Linked DNA regions of Arabidopsis thaliana. The protein of the gene in region 1 interacts with the protein of each later gene in a pairwise test. Each region holds a gene or a part of one and is shown on either strand. Other genes may lie near its edges.

Region 1 (8,669 bases):
TTCTTTTGCAGATGCGTTTGACACTGAGCAGCTTTTGCATTGTGCTGAGACTCTCAAGAGCGGGCAACCCTATCAAGTTCCAATCTATGACTTTAAGACTCATCAACGTAGATCTGATACTTTCCGCCAGGTGCTTACTCTTATGTCCAAGACCATTATTGTGGTTCTTGTGCTCATGTGATTTGAATCTCTTATTTATGTGTTCCTATTTTAACTTAATGGGCATATTAGCATATATTCATTCCCTTTAAACTTAATATCTGTTGGGAGCCTCTGTCAGGTCAATGCTTCTGATGTAATAATATTGGAAGGGATTCTAGTTTTCCATGACTCACGAGTTCGGAATCTGATGAATATGAAGATCTTTGTTGATACAGGTATCAACCGCTATGCCTTTTTGTTTCCCCAAAACATGCATATGTCTTGCGCTACTCATCCTTTTTCACTCTTTGGATAACCTTATTAGTTTTGTATACCTGGAAATGATATTTTGTAATCAAAGTTGTCTATCTCCTTGGAATCTTTTTCACTTCTCTCTAGTCCTCAACATAAGCTATTAAATGGTTTCAGATGCTGATGTAAGGCTTGCTCGCAGAATTAGGCGTGACACAGTTGAGAGGGGTAGGGATGTCAATTCTGTGCTTGAACAGGTCAGTCCTCTTTTCGATTTATGCTGTAGGATTTGTAAGCATAGGTTCATCTAACCTAGTTAGGTAGCTTTATTTTGTGTGTGTATATGAGACATGAGTAAATACATGGAAATTCTGCTCTAGGGAACATCTCATTGTGTCTCTTCTCTGGTTTCTTCTTCCTTTTCTGCTTCCTACTGTTGTTTTTTTACTAGATAACTCTATATGTTCTTATTCCATCCTTTGAGATGCTCCTCTGTAAAACATCTCTTTTATCTTCTGAGCTTCCCATGTGCCTAATTTGTTTTCTGAGGATGTTATGTTCGTTTACAGTATGCAAAGTTTGTGAAGCCGGCATTTGATGACTTCGTGCTCCCTTCAAAGAAATATGCTGACGTGATCATTCCTCGAGGAGGTGATAATCACGTTGCAGTCGATTTGATTACGCAACATATCCACACAAAACTTGGGCAGCATGATCTCTGCAAAATCTACCCAAATGTTTATGTTATCCAGTCAACATTTCAGGTATTTTCTCACTCTTGCTCTCTTTGATACTTGATTTAGATGGTAAGTGTTATCGATGGTCTCACTATAGGATCATGATTGCAGATAAGAGGCATGCATACACTTATTCGGGAAAAGGACATATCAAAGCATGACTTTGTGTTTTATTCAGATAGACTCATTCGTCTGGTATATCTCTCCCTTATGTCTTCTCTTTCAACGTCACTCACTTTTCAGGCTTTCTTATTTTAACTAATATCAGTTCAATTTCAGGTCGTGGAGCATGGTCTTGGTCATTTGCCATTCACTGAGAAACAAGTAGTTACTCCAACAGGTATGAGAAGAGAATGCATGAGCTGTAACAATACTGTATACACTTTTTTATATAACTTGGTCATCAGATGTCCGTCTCCTTCACGTCAATCTAGTTAGAGTTAGCTTATTCAACTCATTTAAACTTATCTTTTCCACACCAGGAGCTGTATATACCGGTGTTGATTTCTGCAAGAAACTTTGTGGGGTCTCAATTATTAGAAGGTGAGCCTTTGAAAGGTATTGTATTTGGTTAAGTTTGATATGATAAGATGCTTATTCTTCCAACTGTTTTACATCATGCAAGGCATAAATTTACTTGTTTGCGATTAAATTATCTCTCCTACGTGGTTTCTGTTTTGTATGTTTTTCCTAGTGGTGAAAGCATGGAAAATGCATTACGCGCTTGCTGCAAAGGAATTAAAATAGGGAAGATTCTCATCCACCGTGATGGCGATAATGGAAAACAGGTCTTCCTATTAATATTTTGCTCTGTTTTTAAAAGTATCAAGTATAATCTCTTTTTATAAACACGAATTTTGAAGTTTCTCTTGTCGTGATAATCAGCTTATTTATGAGAAGCTTCCTCACGACATATCTGAACGCCATGTCCTGCTTCTAGATCCTGTCTTAGCCACAGGTACTCTGTCTCTCTACGCTGTATATTTCGATTTTGGTCCTTTTTGATGGATTTTTGGTTCTCGAAATTCATATCTCGTGATATTGCTTCTTCTTGAAGGTAACTCGGCTAATCAAGCCATTGAACTACTCATACAGAAAGGTGTTCCTGAAGCTCACATTATATTCCTCAACCTTATATCGGTGAGTGTAAAAAGCTATATATCGATCTTTCGCTCTTTTGTGAATGTAGAAGCTAAAGATCTCATTATGTATCTGCTTCTCTATCTCTTTGCTTCTCTCTTTCCCTCGTCATGACCTTGCTTTCTGACAGGCGCCGGAGGGAATCCACTGTGTCTGCAAACGTTTTCCAGCATTGAAAATTGTGACGTCTGAAATAGACCAATGTCTGAACCAAGAATTCAGAGTTATACCGGGCTTAGGCGAGTTTGGCGATCGTTACTTCGGCACCGACGAGGAAGACCAGTAGCCACCACTCAACACTGTGACTGGTTTCAAAGGAAAAGCCTAAATTTATGACTAGAGCGACAGTAGAGGCACTTGCATGTCTTTGTAGTTTGTGCTAAAGAATCTTTATCTTATTGTTTATGAAGCTCCTCTTGCTTACTTGAATTATTTTTGAAAAACTACGTTAATTTTCTCATTAAAAAAATGATCGGGACAATGCTAGTTTTCTAAACCGGTGGAAAAAGACATAACCAATCCTTTTATACATGATTTTGACAATCGTACGAAAATTCCAGTTCTCTCTAATTTTAATTTCTTTATTTACATGTTGATTAATATATATTTACCATTTTTCTTAAGGATCTTAGGGTTTAGGGATTATGACCTAAACCTAATGATAGAATTTAACCTTAGTTGGACCCACGAATGATGGGCCTAAGTTAAGCCCAACTATAAATTAATGTAGCGTAACCGCCACACGCTCATCTATAAATACACCACTCCTATGCAAGACCTATAGTTTTATTTCAGTCGACTCTTGACCTTCAATTTCCTCCGTCTCTAAATTTCCTTTTCTTTTGGCTCTCTCTGCGATCGAGTTCGAAACCGTTCCCTAATCGAAGATCTAGATTCAACATACGTTTTATCTCTCAGGTTTGCTTCTTCTTCGACTACGTTTTCTCCGCGATTATGATGATGCCTTCTTCTTCCTGCTTTCACTTTGGGTTGCGTTTCTTCATCTCCTCGATTCGCGATCCTCCTATTCGCATCGATACCCAGAGATCTAGGGTTTCCACCGATATGGATATGGATAAATCTTAGGGTTTCACCGATAAGGATTATGGATTCGAGTTTCTCTTCTATGTACATTGTCGGAGCTACATCTTCTCTTCTTGTTGTTAGTGTTAGGGTTTTGAATAGGTTTTAGGTGATGAATTATAGGTTTAGAGTTCTGAATTAGAGATTTATTTGGTTTTTTCTGTGGACGTGGTGCTCTATGATACCTGGATTGAATTTGGGGTTACAGACAGAAGAATGTGTTGCTTTTGATTCTCTAGCGATTGGGGAATTCAGAAACTCCTTGCTTCTGGACTTGTTACCCTTGTGAAAATTTATGTATGGGTCATCAGTCATCATGGATGAAGCAAACAGTTATCGACTCTGTGGTTCAGTCTTCTAAAGTTGGTGTTTTCTCAATGTTTAGTATGGATTACAAGGCGCCAAGGAAATACTCACACGGAAGGAATTTTGGAGTTGCGAGACAGCAAGATTTTGCAGCAGATATAGTTACGAGAAGACCTTATGCCCCGTATGACAATGGTATGAAGAAAGGTCCTAATAAGTTGTCAAGGAATCTGGTTTGGACGTCAAAAGAGTACAAATCACCAGAGGGAAACAGGCCAAGGCAGAATGCAGCCAATGGGTCAGCGAAACCACAAGTTATAGGCACAGGACATCGTGTATCAAACCAGCCGAGGAAGAATGCTGTGTATGGGCCAAGGAGCTCTTCTCTTTCAGACACCAGAGGTTGTGGGCCGAGACTCAATGGCAGTCCCAAAAAGAGTGTGTGTAATTTTTGGAAAGATGGAAACTGCAAAAAGGGCGAGAAATGCCAGTTCTTACACTCTTGGTCTTGTTTTCCTGGACTGGCCATGGTAGCTGCTCTTGAAGGACACAAGAATGATATTAAGGGAATCGCCCTTCCTCAGGGTTCAGATAAACTCTTTTCAGTCAGTGGTGATGGTACATTGCTAATTTGGGACTGCAATTCTGGTCAGTGTGTTCGATCCATCAACCTCCAGGCAGAAGCAGGGTCTCTAATTAGTGAAGGACCATGGGTTTTCCTTGGCTTGCCAAACGCTGTAAAGGTTAGTTTAAGGCGTCTCTTAACACAAATATTCTTCTGTTATCTAAATTCTGTTCGTTAAACTCAGTTGATTCTGGTGTTAAAGTTTTTGTTTATCAATTTTGCAGGCTTTTAACGTTCAAAACAGTAAAGATGTGCATCTTGAAGGGGTGGTTGGTCAGGTGCATGCAATGACTGCTGCAAACGGAATGCTTTTTGCTGGAACAAGTGTAAGCATTTTTAACTTAACTCTCTATCTTCTCTATACATGTGTTAGGTTCTCTGCTTCTTTGTTGGATCTATACTAATAAGTTTCTTTTGTCTTTTTTGGAATTGCAGTCTGGTAGTATATTAGTCTGGAAAGCTACAGACTCGGAGTCTGATCCATTCAAATACTTGACATCTCTCGAGGGACATCATAGTGGTGAAGTCACTTGTTTTGTTGTTGGAGGTGAAGTGCTATACTCTGGTTCTGTCGATAAAACAATAAAGGTAAGATATGGCTGCTACTAAATACAAAATGATTTCATCTTTAATCTTATTTTGAATGCATTCTAATAACTTCTGTTTGCTGTGGTTCTAGGTGTGGGATCTCAACACCTTGCAATGTAGAATGACCCTGAAGCAACATATCGGCACTGTCACTTCACTCTTATGTTGGGACAAGTGTCTGATATCGTCTTCCTTGGATGGGACCATAAAACTTTGGGCTTGTTCTGAAAATGAAAGTTTGAAAGTTGTTCAAACTCGCAAACAAGAACTGAGTGTTCATACTCTCTGTGGAATGCACGATGCAGAGGCCAAACCGATCATGTTTTGCTCTTACCAAAATGGAGCAGTTGGCATTTTCGACCTACCATCTTTTGAAGAAAGAGGAAAGATGTTCTCTACGCAGACGATCTGCACACTTACAATTGGTCCTGGAGGATTGTTATTCAGTGGAGACAAGAGTGGGAACTTGCGTGTATGGAGCTTAGCTTCTGGCACCAAAGTTTAGTCGTTTTAACAATTTTCGACTATTGATTTTCATTTAATTTGTACATATACATTGGTGGTTGATTCTAAATCCTTGCATTAATGTAATAACTTTTAATGTTGCCAAGATAAAAGAAAGTAATATTTTCATATCCGTTCTCTCATAGAAAGATGTTTATTTAACACAATTCCTTAAAAGATTTGTGAACTCCATGGAAGCTTCAAAGTTTTGTTCTGTATTCAAATTTCTTATTCTTCTTCTTTTGAAACTGAAAACGTGGGGAAAAAAAAGGAGATTTACAAGTAGAAAACACAAATCTACCAAATGGTATAATTTGTTTTTGGTCTTGAAGGAAGAATGCAAGCAAAACTGGACAGAATATATATCAACTAAGAATGTGGAAAGACACACGAATCACACAAACCAAATAATAGTGAACGCTCTTTGCATTTTGGCTTATTCATCTAGCTTTTCCACTTTTGTGTTTATCCAAGTGAGGAAATGCTTGTAGAATGTTATAAGCCCTGAGATCTTGCCTTGTTAAGATCCCTATCACAGGTGACATCTGCAACAACACAAGACACACGTTTAGTAGTGTTCTTGAATCTTGAATCAAGAGAGTAAAAAAGCAAACTTACCCCTGAAGCTTGAATCTTGGGAACCACCAGTAAATGTCTGAGACCCACTGACCGGAACAGAACCAAAGCTTTAGCCACTGACATACTTTGCACCACTGTGTAAGGTGTAGTGTTGGTCAAAGGATGAAGATCAACATACAATTGCATCTCTGAGCTTGTGATTGCAACATCATCGAAGTTATCTTCTCTCTCAGCTAATTCAACCGGTGTGAACTTTTCCCTAACTTCCCACTCTTCTGTTCTCCTTTTCTCATTCAAGAACCATCTCTTTTTCAGAACTTTCACAAGGTGAGCTCTTAGGATCAGACCATGGAGCTCTGTGCCAGTGTTTTGATCTGCTCCATCCAAGACTGGGAATGCGTTATGCGTTGTGTTCCTTAGTACATCGACTATATTTGCCACTTTTTCTACTCCGTTAAGTGTTACAACCGGAGGCTTAGCGTCGTTAAGCTCACCTACAGTGAGATTCCTCATCCACGGCTCTGGATTTGCTTCCAAGAAAGGTAAGCCCTTAAGATGGAGAATGATCTCGTAGATACTTAGATTGAAGCTGTCACCTACTGTTTTAGCTATCAGAAGCACAAACATTGTAATGGGCAACAAAAGAAGGTTGTTGGTGAGTTCCAGAAATATAACACAGAGTGAAACAGTCATTCTCATTGAACCAGCCATGAGTGAAGCTGCACCAAGAACCGCGTAAAGCCCTTGATCTATGTTTGTGTAAGACCCCATTGCTGTGCCTAGCATCCTACCGTATGCAGAACCCATGAGGATAATCGGTAGGAAGAGACCCGACGGTGTCGCTATACCGAATGTTATAAGACCCAAAATGCAGTAGAGGCCAAAGAATATCCAGAGAGAAACCATGCCAAACTCATTAGGAGTGTTTGAAGAGAAAATGTTTCTGACTGCATCATCATTGGTTGTGAGAAGCAGAGTGGATAGATCGTTGTAATAACCATTTGGACAGTTGAATTGCTTGAAATTTCCTGATCTTCCGTTTGTTGGACATATCTCGTCTATAGAAGGATCACAAGGCTTGCATTCCGCTAAGAAAGGAAGACCGAACAAGCAAACTGATGTGAATAGAGATACCCCAAGACTTAGAAGCACCTTATGAATCTTTCCCTTCCTACACCAAAATTTACCAAACAATGTTAAGTAAAAAGAAATCTTTAAGACTCTTGAACGTTCATAAACACTTACTGGTTGATGAGATTGTAAAGCCGGAGAACTTTATGCAGAAGATGATTGTACAAGCTTCCAAGAATGCCACCAAAGACTCCAATCAATGTGACTGGGATTATATCTGCTGCGTGGTACCTAACCTCTACATGACTCACATCGAACATAATGAGTCCTCCTGAGCCGAAAAGTCCGCATTTCCCGGAGTTACAAATCTCAATGAACGCTCTTAATACAACCACCACAACGGCTGTACTGAAGAATGTTCTCCACAAGAGAGCGCTTCTCCACCACGTAGCGACTTCCTCAAGAGCGAAAAGTACTCCTCCTACTGGTGACCTGAAAGCAGCACATACTCCAGAGGCAGATCCACATGTAATAAGATCTCTTCGATCTCTATCGTTGTTGAAGTAACGAAGCCATCTCCATTTGATTCTGTGATTATCTGGACCACCTTGACCAAGCAAAGAAGCTATGCAACTTCCAATATGAACCAATGGCCCTTCTTTACCAAGATCAAGTCCAGCTGCAACCGCTCCAATACTTCCAACAATCTAATCGGAAAAAAACCGCAAAATCCATCAGTAAAACAAAAGATCTCACACTAACTTTGTGGGAAGCTTCAAACTTTGTGAAGGTTTAAGAAACAAACCTTAACCATCATGGTGGTAAAACCAAACATATTGGGAGTGTCAATGCCATTAAGGTAAGCTTTAATCTCAGGGATCCCCGGACCAGCCGCCGTAGGAGCAAAGTAAACAACAAGTACTGTCGCCACCAAAGTCAGACCCAAATTCGCCCCCGTAAAGACCATCAGACCTGTCCAAAACCTATTTCAAAAACATAAACTTGTCATACAAGGTATCTCAATTTCTTGATCTTGACTGTTTTGTTTTTCAAGATTTGGCTGATGAGTCAATACCTATCTTGAGCAATGTAGTAGCCGACGGCGAGAAGTTTGTAACCGGCGATGTTTTCGACAGCAAGGTTGATGAGAGTAGCGATAAGACCAGTGAAGAGACCAACAAGACAAGCTAATGTCCATTTTAAGAATATGTATTGAAACACTTGTGCTTTTGATCTGCTTCTCCAGTCATGCTTGAACAGATCATTCTCGTTTATTCTGCAGAAATCCAAAATCTCAAATCAAAAATCTATACAAGTATATGTCTCCATCACTGATTATTTTCCACCAAGTTTAAGAAAAAAAAATATATGAAGATTGTCTGAAAACAGAGTAAAGATAAATAAACGTTATAGAAAGAGATTTGAGACCAAGACTTATCATACAACTAATAAACAAAAGGTAACCTAATTATCTGGATCTTGTACAAGATTTGGTTTATGATTGCTTGCGGCAAATTGAAAATGTGAGAAATAATTGAAGTATCACAACAGGTCATATGTCTCCATCACTAATATTTTCATTCTTCTTGTCAAAATTATCTCTAATATTTTCATAATTTATGTTCTGAAAATCAGGATAAAGA
Region 2 (7,950 bases), on another chromosome or scaffold:
GGATTGATGATTCTCAACTAGGGATTTTCCTTTTTCGTACTAGGGAGGATATATAACATTCTTATTGGACTTATCTTAGTGGGCATTATATGGAAGCCCAGTCTGATTCTTCAGCGTAAACAAGAAACTGATGCAAATGGGCTTTTCTTCTCTATTCTTTTTTTTTTTTTTTAATGTAACAAATCTAATGATTTATTTTTCTTTCCGTAATAAAAATATATGAATAGTTATTTGAATTTTTTGGAAAATACTCAAAATAGGTTAGAACTTAGAAGTAATGGAAAAATGACGACAGTAGAGAAAGAAGGGACAAGAAAAATAGATGCTTCGGGAATGTACTTTGTTAAGAGAGCATTCTACATCAACACATACCAAAAATAAAGTATCATTTTGAAAAATATAGAATATCAAAAAGAAGTATATTATCTTCTTCTTCTTCTTTTTTTTTTTTTTTTGGAAAACAGAAGAAGTAAGGGAGTAGAAAATGGAATCCAAGGTCGAGATCGTAATGAGGTGCCTACAGAGGATTTGTATGGAAGAATGTGCATAGACCATCCAAGACCGTTACCTTTATTACTTTATTTGTTTATTATAAGTACTTTAGTTTGCTTAACAACCATAATAATTACCATATGATATGTGTACAAACATTAGCTTTACTATTAGCCTATTTAAAATTATGATATACAAGTAAAGCTACGATCACATGCACGTTTATGCATGTGAATGCGAAAAAAAAAAGTAACAGAATGAGATGTTCAGATGGATATATATTAAAAAGCACCGAATAGTTATAATAATTAACTTGTGGTTGGTGTGATTTTATTGTGAAATGAATATTCACAAAACATGCATCATCGTCATTTCGTCGGATCCACTTTGTATATAATGCATCTTCACAATTAAATTGATTATTGTACCATAACTAATTTATTGATAAAGTATATGATATTTCAAATGTATCCCCAAATAATAATTATTTTTAGTTATAATTTATATAGTATTTTTATAATAATAAATAAATAAAAGAAATTTATCTGATTTATTTTTTTTTGTTTTTAATTATTATTACATGGTCGTCTACTCTTTTTTGTCTTCAAATCCAATTAATTAAATAGAAGGAAAAAAACCGAGGAACGTAATTAGAGGGAATTAGTGGGGGCGTATGTAAAAGGAGAAGAGAAGCTTCCTCGAGAAGTGCATACATGGGAGTGCGTTAATATCTCTATGCTTCTCCTTCTTCTTCTTCAATTCTCTTTTTGCCTTTTGTTTTCCTCAGCTTTTAGAGAGAGTGAGAGAGACTGAGAGAGCTTTCTCTTTTACTTGCCAACTTGCAGTGATGACCAGATCTTTATATTTTCTCTCTCTGAACCCAACAAAGTTGATCAGTAATAATTTATATAAACATATACATATATGAGCCGTAATTTGTAGTTGTGACTAAATGGATGCATCGAGTAAGTAAAAATCATAGCAGAGCAAAAATTCTGAATTACAAACATTTTTTCCCGATGTTTGTAAGATCTATAACTAAGCTCCTGAAATTCAATTAAGAATGATCAGTGTAATAATTTTCTTTTGTATAAATATATGTCCTAATTAGTGGTCATATGAAGCAGAAAAGAAATAAAAGAATAAAGAACAAAGATATATACGGAAGGAAAGATAGATACTCAGTGTCGGTTAATTTCTCTTATGACAAGTTCTTTTATTTCTTTTGAAAAGGATCTTGTAGCTATCAATCTCTACATACACACTTACTTACATATGCGTACAACTGCATACACATATACATAGTAGTATCCTACAAAATCAAGTGACTATATATACATTTGAATCAAAGTTTACAGCTTTTCTTGGTGTTTGCATGTGGTTTTCCCAAAACCCTAAAAACCTTTTGCTTTGATGGGGATCATCATCATCATTATCACTTGCGCTGTCCTTTCTTTTTCGTATTTACTTATGATTTTTTTTTACCATAAACTTTATTTTTAAGTTTGATTGAAAATTTAGTTTCCCGATGCAGATATCCCATTTTAGCGTAATCATATATAAGGCATCAAGTACAAACTAACTTGAGATAGAAATAACTAACTCATGAAAAAGCAAAGGGCCCTTCAAAAGCTTTAAAATATCGTACATGCCTTGAAACATGAGCAACCTAGCTCTTAACACATAAATGTTTATTATTTGTCATATATACAGTTACGTTCATGCATGGGATATATATACTGGTTAAGGTAATATACATATGTACTGATTTATCATATACATGTACTAGATATACTTTAGTACATTCACATTTTATATGCCTCTAATTGGCAAACTGTCAAATATGAAAATCGTACAAGTATGTACATATGAAATAAAATTGCGGATGTAAGAAATTAAACTTAATTTATTTGAAATTGCCATTAAAAAAAGCTATCAAACATAGAATATGAAAATAGCTAGTTAACCATAAAAGGCAACTACAGATTTTATGTGGGTGATAAAAGAATAACAAAACATATATTCGGCAATTCTACTGAGACTAACAATGTAAAGATCAATCATCAAACAGTTGACTAGAAGAAATAAGTAACGAATAAGTACAAAATATATAGATCCTAAAATATTATAAGAACAGCAATAATATATAGTTTCCGTACAGATTATAAAACACGAGCAAAACTAATCCGGTAAACATAACAAAGCTTATATATTTTTTATTTTTTTTTGTTTTGTTTTGTTTTGTCTCATCTCTAAACCCTACGTCAAACTCACAATGACAAAACATATATATCTCGTTCTTACATTCCCATGCATCACTCATAGATAAAAATTAATAAATTGTATCACCCAAATGGCGAGTTTCTTCCTTGTATTAATCCACCATTAGGGTTCATCATAGGACTCAATGGTGATCTCCTAGGCGATGGCCTTTCCAGTAATTTCCCACCATTATTCCCTTCATCACCTGATAAACCTGATTTCCTTTCGTAGATCTCCGACAAAGAATCCAAATCCGTGGAGACATGTGTAGCCATCTGTATCTGAATTCTATGCTCATCATCGATCGATTGGTTTGCGGAAAGATCGTGATCTTGATCAGACCACATCAATAGTCCTTTCCTTACATCGTTACCAAAATTAGGATTAGGTCGCTTCTTCCCCAAGTAAATGTTGGTGTCTGCAGCATTGTTACCCGTGAAATGGTTCTCTATGTTTTGATGATGGAAGTTGTGATGGTCGAGGACTTGGTCGGTTGTGTTTCCATAGATGTTTAGGTCTTGAAACGGCGGGAAACTAAGAGGATGAGGAGGTGGGCCCACCGCTGCTGAAAGACTCGAACTTCCCAGATTACCCTTGTATCCTCCTCCGACGGCGGCTGCTGCGGTGGCGGCTGCCATGTTCTCACCGGCTAGGGTTTGGCAAGCTCTCTCCAAGATAGATTGCATGTACTTTCCTTGTGCTTCAATCCTCAGTTGCAGATGTCTTTGCACCTATAAAAATTGAATGAAATCATTTACTATATTTATGGGATACAAATTGATTTTGTACAAGCAGTTATCATAGAATATCTATAGGTTAATTAATTACCTCTAGCTGTTCATGCAACCTTCTCTGCACTTCCATTTGCATCCTGATCAAACCAACCTGGTGTGAGTTGCTGTAATATATATTAAAATGAAAGTTGAGAAAATTAACGAAATCTGATTAAAATATTACTCATTCATGTTGCGACTCATCATGCCAGAAGAAGAAGCTACGTTGCGCTGAATATCCATGGCAGAAGCTACACGTACGGTAAAAAAAATTAGAAGAAGACGGATCAAAGAACATATATATACATTAATACATATCTATATTATGGGTAACTTTTTTATAAAAACCCTAATTTGATAGAGAAAGGAAGAGTGGTCACCTCTTGAACCTTCCTTTGTGGAGTGATCTCCGTACTCCTTGTGCGGCTGCTTTCCAAGCCTGAATTTCTGCACCCATAGATCCAAATAAGTTGTTAGATTATTATATTATATTATTAAGTGAAAAAAAGAATAGAAAAGATAAAGAGGAGAGAAAATTAAAAGCAAGGAAGAAAAAAACCCTAATCTATATTTGTGTACATACCTGAAGATGGCTCTTTAGGTGGTAAAGAGTAAGACCCTTCACACCCATAACTCTCATAATCGTCTTTGGGGTCGCTTCTGCAAATAGAAATGATCAAAAACTTTGAAAAAACACATTTATAATTGGTTAAATGGATTGAATATATATTTGTGTATGTGTGTTCATACTGTCGGGGCCGCCGAGCTGAGCGACGGCGTCCACAAAACGCTCGTGGAGTTCGACGGTCCAACGCAAACGCGGTTTAGGGTCGGTGGTGAGGACAAGGCCTGAATCGCCTTGAACGCACATAGCTCTGTTCTCATATGAACCATTCATACTTGAAGGTTTCTTAGCATGGAACATTCTCTCTCTCTCTCTCTCTGACTCTCTTTCTCTCTCTGAAAGAGGGGATTCAAGAAACGAATGTGATGCAAAAATGTGAGAGAATACGATGCGTTTTTGAAGAGATCAGATGACGGCTTTTTTTTCTCTCTCTCGTCTTTTTTGTTTTGTTTGTAAATAAATTATGGTTTAGTTAAATATGTTTTATCGTTAGTAAGGAAGAGAACTAAAGTTTCAGACTAGTACACAGACGTTCCTTTGTGAAAAGATACTGTCGCTATCTTTTTCATTTGTGTTTTTTATCCTCTTAGCTTGAATACCTTTGAATTTCTTTCAATATAAAATGTGTGTAAAAGCCACTATACGTATACATTAAGTAAATCATGTCTGTCTCAGATTATTAAATTACTGCGCAAACTTAAAATAATAGTATATATTAGATATTAAATTGATATCTTTGGGGGAAATTGAATTTTGAACATCGGAGATCTCATATCAAAACGGTTATGGATGTGACGACGAAAAAAACAAAAAAAAAAGACGAAAAAAAGCGGTTACGGATGTATCTAATATATATGCATGATTTGTTGCATGATGGTTTTTATTTCTTTATTTCCTGATATAAACATTAAAATGACTTGAGATATCTAAGTTAAAATATAATTCACCTGAATCAAAGATATTGCACATCTATTATTCTTATATTTTTGGTTTCTTTTTCTTTACTACCTTATAATTTAGAAGTAATTTTTAAATCCAAATTTATCATACAATTGTTCTATATACTATTTTCTTAATCATGCTTGATTTGGAGTAAATAGTAATCAAAGATTTGTAAATATTTTCTTTATAGGAAAATATAAACTTTTAAAGTGAATATATTAAAGTTCTATGTATTCTATTCAATTAAGACCGCACGAGGAGAGTCGTATACTAGACTTATAGTTTGTCTACATCGTCATATATCGTAATTGGAGGCATACATACAAATATCTTAACGAAACAAATTCCACAAGGCTAGGGATTTTATCATTTATGGTAGGGTAAACCTTTTTGGCTAATTATGAGGTGAATATACAATTCTAAGCAATGATGAGCTTCGTTATAAATTAATAGACCGTATATTTTTGGAACAAATTTATTATATACATGCAATCCAAAACCGTTAGGTACGGTGGAATATTTGTCTACGACAAAAACGTTTTCCATTCATCGATTAGTAAAAGATGTAGTTTACATCCGCAATTAACTAGCTAGCAAAAGAAAAAAGAAACAAAAAGGTGAACAAACGAGATAATTAACTAAATTACTTGTATGGACACTACAAACCAGAAAATCAACTTTGTTAATATTGCCCTATTAGCTACTAAACTAGCTTATGTATAGAACGACGATGCATTTTTCAATATACAAACTAAAATCATATATAATTCATATACGCAACGATTTAGATTAACCCCTAAATTCAATTGCATGCATGTAAAATAAATGGTCAACCTAAATATATATGAGTGGGAGGTCCCATAGCATATTTACATAGAACAAGAATAAGTCAATGAATATGGCTGAGGCTGATATGCACACACAAAAAAGAGAGAATATTATCTAAGAATAAAATTTGAATTGAATCAGAAATTTATTAGAGGTTATATATTAAGTATTAATTAAGGGAAAGCATGTACATGTTAAAATGTAGACCAATACCAGTCAATGAATATTGAATTAAAACAAAAAAATTAACATAAGAATATGGAACAATTTTTTAAAGTTATACATATTATAAACACGGACTATTAATATGTGGAGAATTATGCATCAATGTGTAAAGATAGAGTTAACGTTGGGGACCTCTTCTTCTACTTATTAAAGCTCTTTTATTCTTTTTATTTTTACCATATGTTTTTCTTCTTTTCTCCATTTTAATTTATTGGTTAAAGCTTGCTGGGGCTATAACCTTTTTTGGCTTTTGTAGGACTGACGATTGTGCAGCTATACATGGTAACACATTTTTCAGATATTAATTTCTTGGAATAAATAAAAAAACAGTGTTTTTCTTTGCCAGAAATGTTAAAAATCTTGGCTGTGAAACGAATTATTTGTACAATAAATTAAATTAATCAATTACCGCACACAATTCTGACCAAGATAAAATAAGAAAATGGTTATAACTTTTGAATTTAAATATTAAATCAAAGTTCAAATTGCATGAGAATTGGAATCGATTCTTCTCCTCTTTGATGAATAAAGATAGATTCTTATTGCGCCAACAATATTAAAAAATGAAAATACAACTCCCGCGATAGATGCCAACCGTATAAACTTGGCCAGCCACATTTACATAGTTTACTAGACTTTTTATTTTTTCTTACCACTTTTTGAGTATAGATACACACATATATTATTCCTACTTATATTATCACGATATTTGTGTTTTCACAATCATCATCACTATTATCTACAAAATTGATTCATAGTGATATGATGCATATTAGCATTAGCAAATCATCCGCCCTAAAATCATTTAAGTTCTCATCTTTCTTTATTAATGTTTTCAATAATGATTTTAAGCTAAATTGTATTTTGCTTTGAAAAAAAGAAACCAAAGTTTTTGTTTTTAGTTAAACCAAGTAAAGCTAATGTTTAACTTTTAGCTAATTGTTGTTGAAGCAAACTAAGAGCTTAAAGAAAGAAAGAAATGAAATTAGTGACAATAAAGTAAGTCGGCTTATAAAAAAATAGAGGCCACAGTTGCTTGAACTTCAAGCATCTTTTTGTGATGGTGCTTTGGGATTTCTTCTCCGAAATGAATATATTCCTTCTAACCTTCTTATCTTTTCCCCACTTAAAAAAACTACAAACAAAAATAAAATCCCAACTTTGGCATAGAGCCATGTAATCTAACGCTATTTTGAAACATAACTGATCCAATTTTTTTGAATAATTAATATTTTAATATATAACACTAAATTCGATAAATCGATCGACTGTTAATAAGTCATAATCCTCCAAAACATTGTCACATGAGACATAAAGCGTTTATAAATAGTAATGACAAGATACTGATGAAAAAAGAAAAATAAACCCAATCGATTTCTAAAAATTGCTGATAAATGAAGCAAAGAACAACAACGTTTATTTTTTTATTTTTTTGGGTATATCCAAAGCAAAAATTGTCCGAATTACAAAAATTAACGTAAAACAAAGAAAAAAATAACGTAAACAAAGATAAATAAAATGGAAACCCCAAATTATTACTTAAAAATCATGCTAACAATTGGTCGTAGACCAAATCTTTATTTCTTAAGAAGTATCCTCCGAATCCTTATTATGTTCCACAGTAAGCTTTTATTAGAAGGATACGAGTGGAGGAGAAAAACTTACAATTTCTAAAGCTTTTCAAACAAACCAAATCAGTGTCTATTCATATCTCCCAAGCATACGTATTTGATCTGCGTCAAAGCCAAGAGCCCAGAATCAATAAATGAAAAGTAGTAATTTGCAAAACTTTATGCTTATAAA

What was found. The genes of interacting proteins can lie anywhere in the genome.
Region 2: the proteins of AT5G40880 (region 1) and APL interact in a two-hybrid assay, tested with the Arabidopsis thaliana proteins (one large-scale study listed by BioGRID).

What each region holds. Positions count from the first base shown.
Region 1 is NC_003076.8:16,375,829-16,384,497, forward strand, and holds AT5G40880 (WD-40 repeat family protein / zfwd3 protein (ZFWD3)), read left to right. Parts: upstream 1-3,064; 5' UTR 3,065-3,652; coding exon 3,653-4,402; intron 4,403-4,508; coding exon 4,509-4,610; intron 4,611-4,719; coding exon 4,720-4,872; intron 4,873-4,963; coding exon 4,964-5,377; 3' UTR 5,378-5,524; downstream 5,525-8,669. Other genes in the region: UK/UPRT1 (uridine kinase/uracil phosphoribosyltransferase 1), read left to right, coding at 12-130, 281-377, 571-650, 963-1,157, 1,242-1,325, 1,410-1,470, 1,613-1,673, 1,825-1,918 and 3 more; CLC-A (chloride channel A), read right to left, coding at 5,817-5,921, 5,995-7,126, 7,201-7,733, 7,832-8,009, 8,102-8,302.
Region 2 is NC_003070.9:29,874,684-29,882,633, forward strand, and holds APL (Homeodomain-like superfamily protein), read right to left. Parts: upstream 4,597-7,950; 5' UTR 4,453-4,596; coding exon 4,278-4,452; exon of another isoform or gene 4,188-4,277; coding exon 4,111-4,187; intron 3,975-4,110; coding exon 3,908-3,974; intron 3,779-3,907; coding exon 3,712-3,778; intron 3,626-3,711; coding exon 3,583-3,625; intron 3,486-3,582; coding exon 2,838-3,485; 3' UTR 2,545-2,837; downstream 1-2,544. Other genes in the region: ALDH5F1 (aldehyde dehydrogenase 5F1), read right to left, coding at 7,842-7,880. UniProt on the Arabidopsis thaliana protein: Transcription factor required for phloem identity. Has a dual role both in promoting phloem differentiation and in repressing xylem differentiation during vascular development. Regulates the expression of the transcription factor NAC045 (AC A4VCM0).